2 linked regions of the Drosophila melanogaster genome follow. The protein of the gene in region 2 interacts with the protein of the main gene of each other region in a pairwise test. Each region holds a gene or a part of one and is shown on either strand. Other genes may lie near its edges.

Region 1 (7,948 bases), on a different chromosome or scaffold from region 2:
TTTCTGTAACTCCAGTAATAGTAATCTCTCTATTGCAGTTGTGGTCGCTGTGGACACCTGAACGATTTGACGACGAACAATTAATCTCATTGTAGACTTAATACATTTGCAATTCATTTAAATTAACTACAATTATGCTTGCAATGTGAATACATAAAGACAAATAATCAATGAACAATTTAAGACTAAACAAATTCCAATTTAAGGTCTCTTTGCGAATCGATGTAACTTTAAGCTGGTCAAGTTGCAGTTGACGAATTTATAGTTTTTCGATTCCAGCGTAGGCGTGTGAACAGTTGCATATATATTTATATATAGATTGGCGTCTCTTGACCGGTGAGCAAACGAAACATGGACGTGGGCATTGTCTTCATCAGGATCTGATTGGAAAGGTATTGTTAATATAAGAATAACGAATTTAAAAACGCGTCATACCTCGCCCACTGAGGATGACAACAGCTTGACAATGGTATCGTGTGGCACGGCCACAACGCTCTGGTTGTTAATCTCAATGATGCGGTGGCCTACGCGTACTCCACCCCGCTCAGCGATTCCTCCACGCAAAAGACTGCAGATCTGCATTAAATAAATACATATGATTAGAAGGATTAGAATAAGAAGAATAAATTCAGCATTTTATAATTACCACGCCATTTTGAACACTAAAACCCAACTGGAACAGCGCCTTGGGACGCAGGATCTTAACCTCGACGACAGGCGGACAGGGCACAACGGTGAACTTGACGGCAGTTTGGTTCTTGGCATTGCGTATGTAGCTCTGGCAGGTGGACAGCGGCAGTCCCACCAGGCTCATGCCGTTAATGGCGATCAGCTGGTCACCGATGTTCAGCTGGCCGCAGCGGGCAGCTGCTCCTGAACTCATCAGGTTGGCAATCACCACGGTGGGCAGCATGGATCCCCAGCCACTCTCTACGATCACCACGCCTAGGATCTCGCCTTTCGCCTTCGGCACAACTACCTCCTTTTGCAGCTCCTTTTTGGCAAAGATCTCCAGCTCATCACCGAAAATCTCCTGACTGTTGAGCACCTCCTGGTAGTCCATCTCTTTGGCCAGACTCTCGTTTTCGATGCCGTTCGCCTTCAGGAACTCCATGTAGGCCACCTGGTTAGGTTTTGATTGTTAATTATACGTGCCAATAATATTATTAATATTCGCGTACCTGGAAGGCCTGTCCAATGGACTGAGCTATGAACTGCGCCTCATCGCTTTCGAACACGTGGCAGATCATTTTGGGCGTGCGATTGTGCTTGCTGAGTGGCTCTTTGGGGGGCGACTCCTCCTCGCCTATGCCCGGAGTGGGAACATCACCTAATGGACTGGTGATCGATGGATCCACAACACTATTCGGTACGAATCGACGACGAGCCATCAGCACAACCAGATCGCCAATGTCAGCTATATAGGATATAGTACGCAGCGCATGGTCCATCATGATCTCCTTGAGATCCGTGTTAAGCACCATTATCTTTTCGGTTGATATGAACAGGTCCACTTCAGTGCTCGGCTGACTTTCGCCCTCGGGAGCCTGGTAAAAAAATAGCAAATCATATATTATATAATGCATTTAATTCTTAATGCTATCATTTGACGACTGAAAGGGGCTAACGAACGCTTACCAAAGCCTATCGAGAGGAATGCGCAGCAGGGAACGAGAAAAGCGAACGAGAAAGTTTTTAGACACACACATAGAGCATAACCTAGCGGGGTTTCCTTGAATGGATGTGCTTTCGTGTGCATCACCAGGTTTTCACTTCACTTACCTTGATCCTGGAAACGGCCTCCTCGGCCTGCATCATTCTGGTCGACTTGGTCGGCTGACCCTCGCAGACAAGTTGAGTGGATCCAAGGTATCTGGCCCGAAACAACACGCCCTCAATGAGAACTTTGGGTTCCAAGAGACCTAAGAACGAACATTATTTAAATTAGTTACGAAGTGCGTTAATGGTCTTCATTTCTGATTGTTAATACACATAAGGGTAGTTTAATAAACCTAAACATCTGCTGGGTAACAGAGACTTACGTGATGTCAGCATTAAATAGATTTGAATTGCAGCGTGAAATGTTGAATCGGTTTCCATATCAGTAAACGAACAACAAGGGGCGTTGACAACTGTGCTAACTTACCCTCTTTGTTCCGCGATTTGGCCTTCTTGTCCGAGTTGGCAGAGTCCTTCAGGGATTTAATAGAGCCCGTGGGACTTTTGGTGAACTGCAGTTTTTCCGGCGAGCTTATGGAGATGTCGGTCGTGCCCACAATCTGACAGATGTCCGGCGAATTGGGTGTCAACGAGGTGCCGATGCCTTGTCGAATGGTGGCCGTCGAGTAGGTTTGCGGCTTGCTATTATTCATAGGATTCGGATTGTTGTTGTCCGACGTGCCATTTAGATGCCCATTGCTGGCAATATCCGTGCCCTCATTGGCATTGTTATCAGCCAGGCTCTGTAAAATTATTATTTCGTAATTATTTTGAGCTGATATCTCTGTAAGTTTGCATTCCTCACCTGATCGGCGAAGAAATCCTGCTCATCGTGCCTCTGCTGACCCAATAGACGATCTGTTTCAAGGTCGGTGTCTGGTTCCTCATCCGCCGCCGCACCTTGGGCCGTCGAGATCGTCGTCCCTTTGCGTGGAACCCAAACCGGTGAATCTGGATCCGTGGGCAGCACTTCGTCACAGAATTTTAGTTTTTCAGGCTGCGTTTTAGCACGCTGCAAGGCGGAACGTATCTCCTTCATGGCCTCCTGGATTTCCGAAGCAGCCTGCGATGGCAAAGATCCTCCCGCAGTTACTGGTGTCACCCCCAGTCCTGATCCCGCTGACTTCTCTGTGTGAGTACCTCCCAAAGCTGCTGCATAAACCGCACCGTAGTGACTGTCCAGTGGATTATCAGCATCTGGGACCATGGTCATGGATTCACTTGCATCGGCGATCTCGATTTGGGGCGGCGATGATGGAGGCGGAGCCGGGGGCATGGGCAGTGAGGCGAAGTCGCTTATCAGCGCCGATTGCGAGGCATCTGTGGTCAATGTGGCCAAGCTGGCGCTCATCACATTGTAGTCGTTCTCCAGCCGCTCGCCATTACCGTTGTGCTCGTGGACGGGCTGAGATTGGGACGATTGCTGCTTGTCACACACCACGGATACGTTGTTCTCCGTGTCGGAGGCGTGGCCACTGCTCAGGCCATCTTCTAGGACAGGCATGCTCGTATACAGTTTACCAAAATCCGTGGGGCAGTTAATGTCGTTAGACAGACTGTCCAAATCACCGCAATTCGAATCGTAATCCGTCGTCTCGGGAGACAGGGTAAAGTTTCGGGAGTGTCGGCGCAGATTTGCCTCCAGTTCGGTGTCCGCCAAATCGCCGCTGCTTCGGCTATTCGAATCAATGTACAGCTCAATATCATTATGCTCCTGGTAGGCCGTCGATGGATTCTGGTCACTGGGCTAGAAATCGAACAATCGTTAGCTATTTTAATGAATTTCATTTCGTTATGACTCACTGGCTTTTTAGTAGGCGACCGGTGAACCATGTAGAGCTCATCTTTAGGTATTCTCGCCAACCGCTGTCCTATATATGCCTGCTCCATGGGCGTGGCTGGGTACTCTTGTGGCTGCTAGTCAATCAAAATGCAATATTAAATGGGTTTCTAGGCTTCTTGGAAGTAGTAGTACTCACCGAGCTAGCGACATCGTCTCCACTTTCCGTGGTGTAATCCGTGTACCGCTTTTCGTCCTCCGGATTCGCCTTGAAGAACTCCTCCAGCACCTTTCTGGTCTCTGAGAATTCGTACAGGTAGTCGAAAGTAGGTGTTTTCTCGCGAAGCGTCCCGGAACGCTCTTCCTCGTGGTCGACCAAATCGATAAGGTTGCCCACGGATGCTTTAGCTGCAGCAGTTGCATTATTAGCGACACTGGTGGTGGGCGAAACTCTTTGCGGGAAACCCGGCGGACGTTTTCTAGGACCACCCATGGTAATGGTATTTGTATTCGGTTGACTTCCAAATCGTCGCGGTGAACCCTCGTACTCGGCTATTGGCAGCTGTCCAATCATTTTGGTCACCTTGAGGACATCCTCATTGCTGCCTGGACGCTGGCCACTCGATGCCTTGTTCATCCAGTTTGTGTCAATGTCGTCGAACACCACGATCTCACCATCACGCAGGCACTGACCGTCCGCCTTGCCCACATCCGTTGGTGAGCCGGGGCTGGCCAATCCCTTAAAGAAAAAGCAGAAAAATCTCATTGTAGTGACTGAAACTACGCCTCTAAGTAATTCTCCAAGTTAAATTACCTGTGGCAGGACATCCCGTGTCTCAAACTGGCTGCCCGGACTCCTACCCAGTCGGATTTGATGCAACTGCGGTCGCTGGTAGTAATAGCTGCCAGAATCGCGTCCCGCATTCGAACCATAGCTGCCGGATCCCTGAACACCTCCGCCCGATGGCGAAAGACCCTGCAGCGGAACGTAGGACAGCTCGCCATTGAGATCCGGCGAATTGAGCACCGTGCTGGCTGGCGTCACATTTGGGCTACGGGTTCGCATCTCCCACACATAACGTTCCTGCTGCTGCTGCTGCTGCTGGTGCTGATGCGATTGCTGCTGCTGCGCCTGCTGGCCAAAGTTCATCTGTATGTGCGGTGGATTGACCATGGACTCGTTACTGCTGTCACTGCAGGAGTTTGAGTTCATGGCTGCACCAACAACTTTGATTCTCCAGGTATGAGGGACTGCGGCTTCGATACTACTACAACTACTGCTCTAGTGCTGCTGCTGCTGCATCCGCTGCTGCTGCTGCGATTGCTGCCTCACTGTGGGCCACTGCCTGGGGGAGAATGGATGATTAGTCGATGATCTAAGGCGGCAATGATTCACTGCGCTGCAGCTCAGCCCAGAAAAAAATCAGGGACAGGTGGTCGTGTCGATGACGTACTTTTGCTGGATACCTTGCCGCTGCGTACTATATATTTAAATCGACATAGAAATACCTGGATTACCGGGTGTGTTTAGACATACGCGATACGGACAACAGGAACCAGCACAGTAAAATGCCAATCTATAAAATTGCTGATTTGTTATTTTTGGACCTAAGCCTATTGCTTTAAATTGGGTTTGCCCCAATCATTCCCTAATCATTCTCATGTGTATTTGTATCTTATTACAGGTCCTAGCTCACCTCGTTAAATGTAATTGAGTTTAGCTAATAATAAGTATTCCATTGTTTCGAGCTTCGGTTTGTTGCTGCACTGGTTTGGTAACCTCTGGTTGTGGTGACCCCCTGGCTGGCCAGCGCAATCAATGCGGGCAATTAACCCACTATTGCCTGTCCATGTGTCTATATGTGGACACCTTTTTTAGGGCCCCCCGCCGCGGTTGCCACTGACCGAGCTTGCGAGTTTCCGAGTTCCGGAGCTACCGTGTCCGTGGTTGATTGCGCACACGTAAACTTGGCCTCCAAAAGTCCTCGCGCAGGCAAAACAAACGCAGGAAGCTGCAGCCAGACACAACAACCACCCACGCGAAGGTTGAAGGATGTGTGGTGGGTGGTGCAAGTGGGTGGTGCCAGGGGGCGATGGTGGTGCTGGTGCTAGCCCTTTGTTGTCGCCGATTGTTGCAATCACTCAGCACTTTGGAGGCGTGGGAAAAAAACAAACTCCCCGTTACCGTTATGTGTATCTATCCATGTGCGTATTGTTAAAAATCAATAGATTTGTCGTATTTTTTTTGCAGCTCCTTTGCTTTTCGTTTCGTTATTTTTTGGTGGGGGCACCGCACAACACAACACACTCATGCACACACTCGTCGCATAACGACGCACACACGCAGCGCACTCGAGCAACAACAACTGAAACGGCGGCAACAACAACACGGCCAGCAAATAGGCACGAAAACAACACCTGTCGCGGTTTTATATTTACCATTTAATTCATATTTATTGCACTACTCCTTCAGCAACTCGATTGGCGCAGAGCGATTGGCAGCAATATAGATAGTCTCTGCTAGAACATCGATGGCCTATCGATTGCTATCGACAGCGAACAGCCGGACAGTGTTGAGCAGCGTTAGAGGGTACTATTCAATTCGTACCTAAGTAGGTGCTAAAAGCCATTTTAAACATATTTAAATATGTTTCCTTCTCCACCCCAGCTTTACTTGACTTTACCCTTTCTCCTGTACCTTGCCCTAATTACGCGGTACCGTCTACTTTTCCAACACTCCTTGTACGATGAATTTCCCGCGCCAATTGATAACACTTTTTCGAATAATATCAGTTTAGCATTTAATGATTAATGTACTCCATCTGGGTTTTGTTTTTCGTTTAATATTTGCAACATTCGAACGGATAGTACAAGTACAAGTGGTGTATAAAAGTTCGATGAGCAAAATTGACAAGGATTGTGTGGCAGTAAACAGTTTTTCTTGTTCTTCGTTAGCTTATAATTCGTTTTATATATTTGTGTATATTGAAACAATTTCTTGCAGTCTTGCCAGAATTTCAGTGATAATAATTCGTTCGTTCAAGATTTATCAAGCAATTAAAATTTTAACAGCAAGTTTTGTTTTTCCATCGAAAACTTAATGAATTAAGTTAGGAATTAGACACGGATTATTTTCCCAAAAATTCTAGCAACACCGGTGTGTGGTTGTGTGATGTTTTCTTTTAATTGTTGTTTGCTTGCTTCGCTTTTAATACATTAATTACAGTGTAAAGTTGCTCTATAGGCTAAACTGGAAGGAATGATTGCATTTAATTGTTGGACACAAAGTTGGAAACTTAATAAATAGTGTTTTCTAAAATTAGACTTGGGTTGGGAAGGGCGATAAAATAGTCAACAATATAAATAAGGTTTAATAATTAACTAACAGATACGAGTACAATGGGTTGGTTTACAAAAATCGGGTTAGTGGGGAAGTTGTTAGGGAAAGGCTTTAACTAACAGTCAAGGCCAACAAAAACATTGCGCACTTAGGATCTACACGTACACTAAACATAATTTTGGTAGTTTTGGGCTTAAACTAGTTGCTCGTTTGGTTGCCTAACATTAGTAAATACATACACGCGCTTAAAAACTACGCTACTTAATGATTATGATGTCTGGTTGTCAAATCAGGAATGGAATTTTAACAGCGAAACGAAACAGAATCGTAATCGAAATCGAACCAAAGACGTACAATAAATGATAGAGGGGATTGGACTTCCAACGGGGAAGGCCGGAGATTAAAGCTTTGTATGTTTGACCGTATCCGTCCAGTAGTTCTGTATTGTCATCGCCTCCAGCGAATTGAGAAACGAGTCGTTGTCCAGGCTGTACATCTCATCCGAATTGTCCTGCAAAATCAAGAGAGAGAACTATTTAGTGCATAGGACATTCAAGCGCCACTGGCAATTGGTCAACGAATCCTTACACTCACCCGCATCGTGCTATCATCGATATAGACACTCGAGTCTGGTTCGCTGAGCGCCTGCGGTTTGTTCAGATACCGACGACGGTACAGTACGATCCCAATGGTGCCCACTGTGCAGCAGACGCCGAAGACAGTGAAGCAAATCGCCGAAATGGCACCCGCATCCAGGAAGTACGTTCGCTGGAAATGGAAAAAAAAGCATGTTACTTTTGAAACCAATTTTTCAAATGATATCGAATTTAGCAATGATTAGTTTTCACCTACCTGAATGGCCAGTGCCTCGGATGAGATATTGCCCTCGTCGCCGACGCCTCCGTCGTAGAACCCGGATCCGGCCACGCCCCCCGCCACGCTGGGCGCCGCGGAGGCGGATCTGGTCAGAAGACTCTTGGTGTCGCCGGAGAAGTTGATGTAGCGATTGATGTGCTTATACTCCGCGGATAGAACCTTCGATTTTCGCGATCTATGCTCGCTTTCGGCACGCCTAAGTTCATCCTCCTTGTTGGCATTTTCCAGGGTGA
Region 2 (4,033 bases):
TACACGAGGCTTTGGTTAATTGCATAAATAAAACTGGGACGGTCCGGGTGGGTGGAGTAAAGCTTAATTAAGCCTGCTCCACCACCTGCCGACTCCCCATGGACCGGGCAAATAAATAATAAAAACAGAAATTGACACAAACGCACACAATTGTGGGTGGATAGTATGGAATGGGATGGGATGGGCATTGAAACAAACACGGAAATGGTTGCCAGAATAAAGGGACAGAATGGCCAACAAGGAAGTGCAGTGTCCTTAGGCTCTGGGCCAAGGGTGGTGGAGGAGCATAACCATAATACACCCGGGTCAAAGGTTATCGTTACGGGTTCGCTTCACTAAGCTGGCCTTTTATTAACCTTCTCGCAATGGGTTCGCACTATCCACAAATATGAGCTCTTTCACTTCTACGATTTTAATTGTCATATTTAGAAATGCGTGAAACATTTTGTTAATAACTATTAATAACTATTCTTGTTTGTTGGCTATCAAGAGATATATAATATAAACCAAACTACAGTTAAAGCTGCCGATCTTGTAGTTTATTGAGTAACTTGCGAAGGTAAAACAAAGTGGGATCCACCGCCACTAATCAAAATTCGTGTATAATGTGTAGTAGTAGAATTAAAATCATTTTGCGGGCCCAGCAACCGAGGCGATCTCCTCCCGTCCTCCTGCACCAGTCGTCCCCATAGGTCTTGCATGCATTTCAGCGTGAAATGGCGATGGACTAACGAATGTGAGAGCGCTCCAAGGAATTCTAACGACTGCGCCCCGAATCCTGCGGATCGATATTGGACACCCATTGCACGGGATTGATGTAGATGTTGGATATGGTACCGCGCAGCGTGTCAAAGCCCTGATTGAGGGGAACCGGCTTGGCCCGCTTGTCCACCTGTTTCATCCAGTTCTGCCAGGCGCCTTGGCGGCGCTGACGGCGTTCCTCCTCCAGTTTCTGCTTGTTGCACTGCAGTCGGATCAGGCGTTGTTTTTCCTGTTGCTGCTGCTCCCGCTTGGCTTGCTCCCACTTCTGCAGACGGTTCTTTGTGTTCTCGGGAGACACCTTCCTTGTAGGGGCGGTGCTAGAGCTGGAAACCGATCCCAAACTGGAGCTAGAGGTCGAGGATTTCTTTTGCTTTTGCCGCTGCTGCTGCTGCTGCTCCTCCTTGCGACGACACCACTCCTGGAAGTGCTCCTGGGCATATTTCTGTCGCAGTGCTGCCTCCGCCTCCCGCTTTTCGCGCTCCTGTTTGGCAGCCAGCAGATTCTTCTGCTTCTCGGCGGCCTTTCGCGCCTTCCAGTCCTCGAAGGCCTGCGGGCCAGGGCGTTCCTTATGCTCCTCCAGCTGCTTGTAGCACGTGGACGAGTCAGAGACGACGCTGGCCAGGCTCAGAGGGGGCATACCGGTGCATCCATCGGTGGACTGCAGAGCACCGCGGTACATGTCCGACCAGCTGCAGGTGGACATCGAGGATGCGTCATGGTTTTGATTGTTGCCCGAGCTACTCAGGCTGTATGTCCGACTGGAAATCTGGCCCTGGTTAGTCTCCTTTACGGAGGCCTGCTTGTAGAAGGTCCTGCCGCTCAGCGCATCCAGATTGTTATCCTTGCAAAAGGTCCTGGTGTTAATGCTGTGCGATTTTTCCTCCTTGAAAAATGTCCTGCCGCTGATATTGTCCAAATTGTCGACATCCTCACCGCGTTGCGTCACCGTTGGCGTGCAGCTGCCTAAGGAGCTAAGGCTCTGCACATCGTGATCAAAGTTCATCACGGTCTCCGTGTCCGTGGCAGCCGCCTCATCGCCTTTGTTCATGACCCGGTGAAACACATCATCTGCATTCGCTTTATCCTCAACTTTCGCCTTCTCGTCTGTGAAGCTCATTCTGCCATTTAGCAATGCATCGTTGGCCTCCTCCTCATCCAGTTCCTTGCAGAAACTCAAAATGGAATCCGTCTCGCTTTCCGAATTGTCGGCATGATCCCCCAGAGAATCCCCAAAATCCTCATAATCTAGCTGAGGTTCCACCGCTTCACGATCTTCACCCTGGCCAACATACCTCACTGTGGGAGCCCCATAGGTGTGGTTTGTATAGCCCAGCAGCGACTCCGAATCCTCATCACTAATGTCCGACTGGGAAGCTGGACGTACTTTTTCCCGACCAGACACCTGCTGACGATCCACCACCGAGCCATCGCTACTCCGACGCGCTACAAAGGCCATTCCGGCAGTCTGCGAAAGATCGACAAAAGTGGGGGATGTGGAAATTGAATTGGGAAAGATTTCTCTCGAGTTTTCGAGACGATATGTCGTGTCGGCTTTGTGTCTGTAGACTGCTGAAACATAAAATGTACACAACGACTGACAATCAAAGCGTAAGTTCACCGATTGCTGTGGTCGAAAAATAGAGTAAAATATTCCATTTAGAGTCACATCTAAGTATACCAAAGTGTAAAGCTCGTTAGTGTTTTTATGAGAGACTGCATTTTAACATTCTGTTTAATACGTTTAACTAAGAAACCGAAATCATTAAATATGAAAATGGAAATTCATTGAATTTCCGCTCTGACAGGTTACAAATTTGATATCTTTTCCGCCATCACCAGATACCACATGCACACGTATGTGCGTCCGGTCCGGGCACGAGTCCGGTGCAAAATGAAAACATTTTAACTAATGGCAAACAATTACTTAAACAACGAGCCGAATGACGGCGCGAAGGATGAAACCAAAGGTAATTAAAACCCAACACCACACGCATCCTCATCCACATAAACCTCAATTTCAGCGGGTGAATTTTGGGGTGTTGGAGCGAAAAGTCGCCGGCTCAAAAATCGTTTGTTGTCCTATGAGGGCGGCGAGTTCGTTTGTTTCTCTGCCTGCTCTTGGCCAGGTAATGAGCGTCTCTTTCGTTTTTAATGAGTCCTGGCACACATACACACACACGCACATTGAGATAGTGTGGAGCTCACCTGGGTTCCTCCCCCAGACTCAGGTGTAATAAAAAAACTTATCGCCGCTGGCTTTTGGGCGCTCTGGGTCGCGGCGTTTGGCAAACACAATGAAATGATTTTGTACCTCGTTAATTGCTGTATCGTCGTTCACCATCATCTTGGCTCTCAAATTAAGGCTGAACGGTGAGTGACACAATTAAGTTGGCCCTTTTTTCAACGACCTGCCAAATGACTTGTCAAAAAGTGGGCGTGGCTGGGTATGTGGTTGCGTGTGTCATCTACAATAGGCTCAGTGCTCCATTTCCAGAATCAGGTCAAAGATAAAGCTGCTTTAAAGCCGCTAGCCAAAAATAAAAAACTACAGTGAAAGGACTCTGGCTTAAAATCAATATCGATTAATTATTGTAAGCTGCAGGTCTAAGTACACGGTATTCCACGATTTCAATTAAAACAAGTCAGGTTTCTCGACTATCGAACACCCTCTACACAGCTGCTTGGATTGAGATATAGATATGAAAAACAAGAGATAAAGAGGTAAATACTCTTGTCGAGATTGCTGATCAGCGCTACCTGGTGGCGGTTTCCAGACGCCTTAAAACAAACCATGGACCCTCGAAAGATCTAATGGACTTGGGCGATACCCTGCAATCGTTGGAGACCATAACGTACTTAGACTTAAAGTATTTAAATATTTTCTGTTGGATAATAATGTACTGGGAATTGGCGGAGCCAACTGTTGCATTGGCCGATGAAATTCCGACAAGTGGTTAAGCCATTATGAAATGTTTCGGTTACACATTTCAGGCACGCAGCCAATAAAAGTTTTATTTTGAGTTTTAATTATATTTTTAACCCGTGTTATTGTCACGGACGAGCCATTGATTATTGAACGATTGGACGATGCGCTGGTTGTTGGTCTTTGGGCGCCCGTTTAATTAAAAACGTGACAATTTTACCTGTGGCCAGTGCGGCGCATATTTCATACGCCATGTGTGACCTCTGACCCACTCGCAGACTGGCCCGTCGAGTCTACATCCATTTGAAAATATATAAAATGTTGTTTACACTAATAACAAACATTTCA

The links. The genes of interacting proteins can lie anywhere in the genome.
Region 1: the proteins of CG18266 (region 2) and X11L interact in a two-hybrid assay, tested with the Drosophila melanogaster proteins (one large-scale study listed by BioGRID).

Annotation. Positions count from the first base shown.
Region 1 is NC_004354.4:17,597,670-17,605,617, reverse strand, and holds the start of X11L (X11L), read right to left. Parts: upstream 6,011-7,948; 5' UTR 5,939-6,010; intron 5,628-5,938; exon of another isoform or gene 5,197-5,627; intron 4,846-5,196; 5' UTR 4,713-4,845; coding exon 4,314-4,712; intron 4,239-4,313; coding exon 3,699-4,238; intron 3,637-3,698; coding exon 3,523-3,636; intron 3,467-3,522; coding exon 2,525-3,466; intron 2,463-2,524; coding exon 2,147-2,462; intron 1,923-2,146; coding exon 1,783-1,922; intron 1,645-1,782; coding exon 1,639-1,644; intron 1,548-1,638; coding exon 1,182-1,547; intron 1,124-1,181; coding exon 647-1,123; intron 577-646; coding exon 436-576; intron 381-435; coding exon 309-380; 3' UTR 1-308. Other genes in the region: CG12991 (uncharacterized protein), read right to left, coding at 7,240-7,371, 7,434-7,607, 7,692-7,948.
Region 2 is NT_033779.5:5,595,124-5,599,156, reverse strand, and holds CG18266 (uncharacterized protein), read right to left. Parts: upstream 2,325-4,033; 5' UTR 2,219-2,324; coding exon 758-2,218; 3' UTR 521-757; downstream 1-520.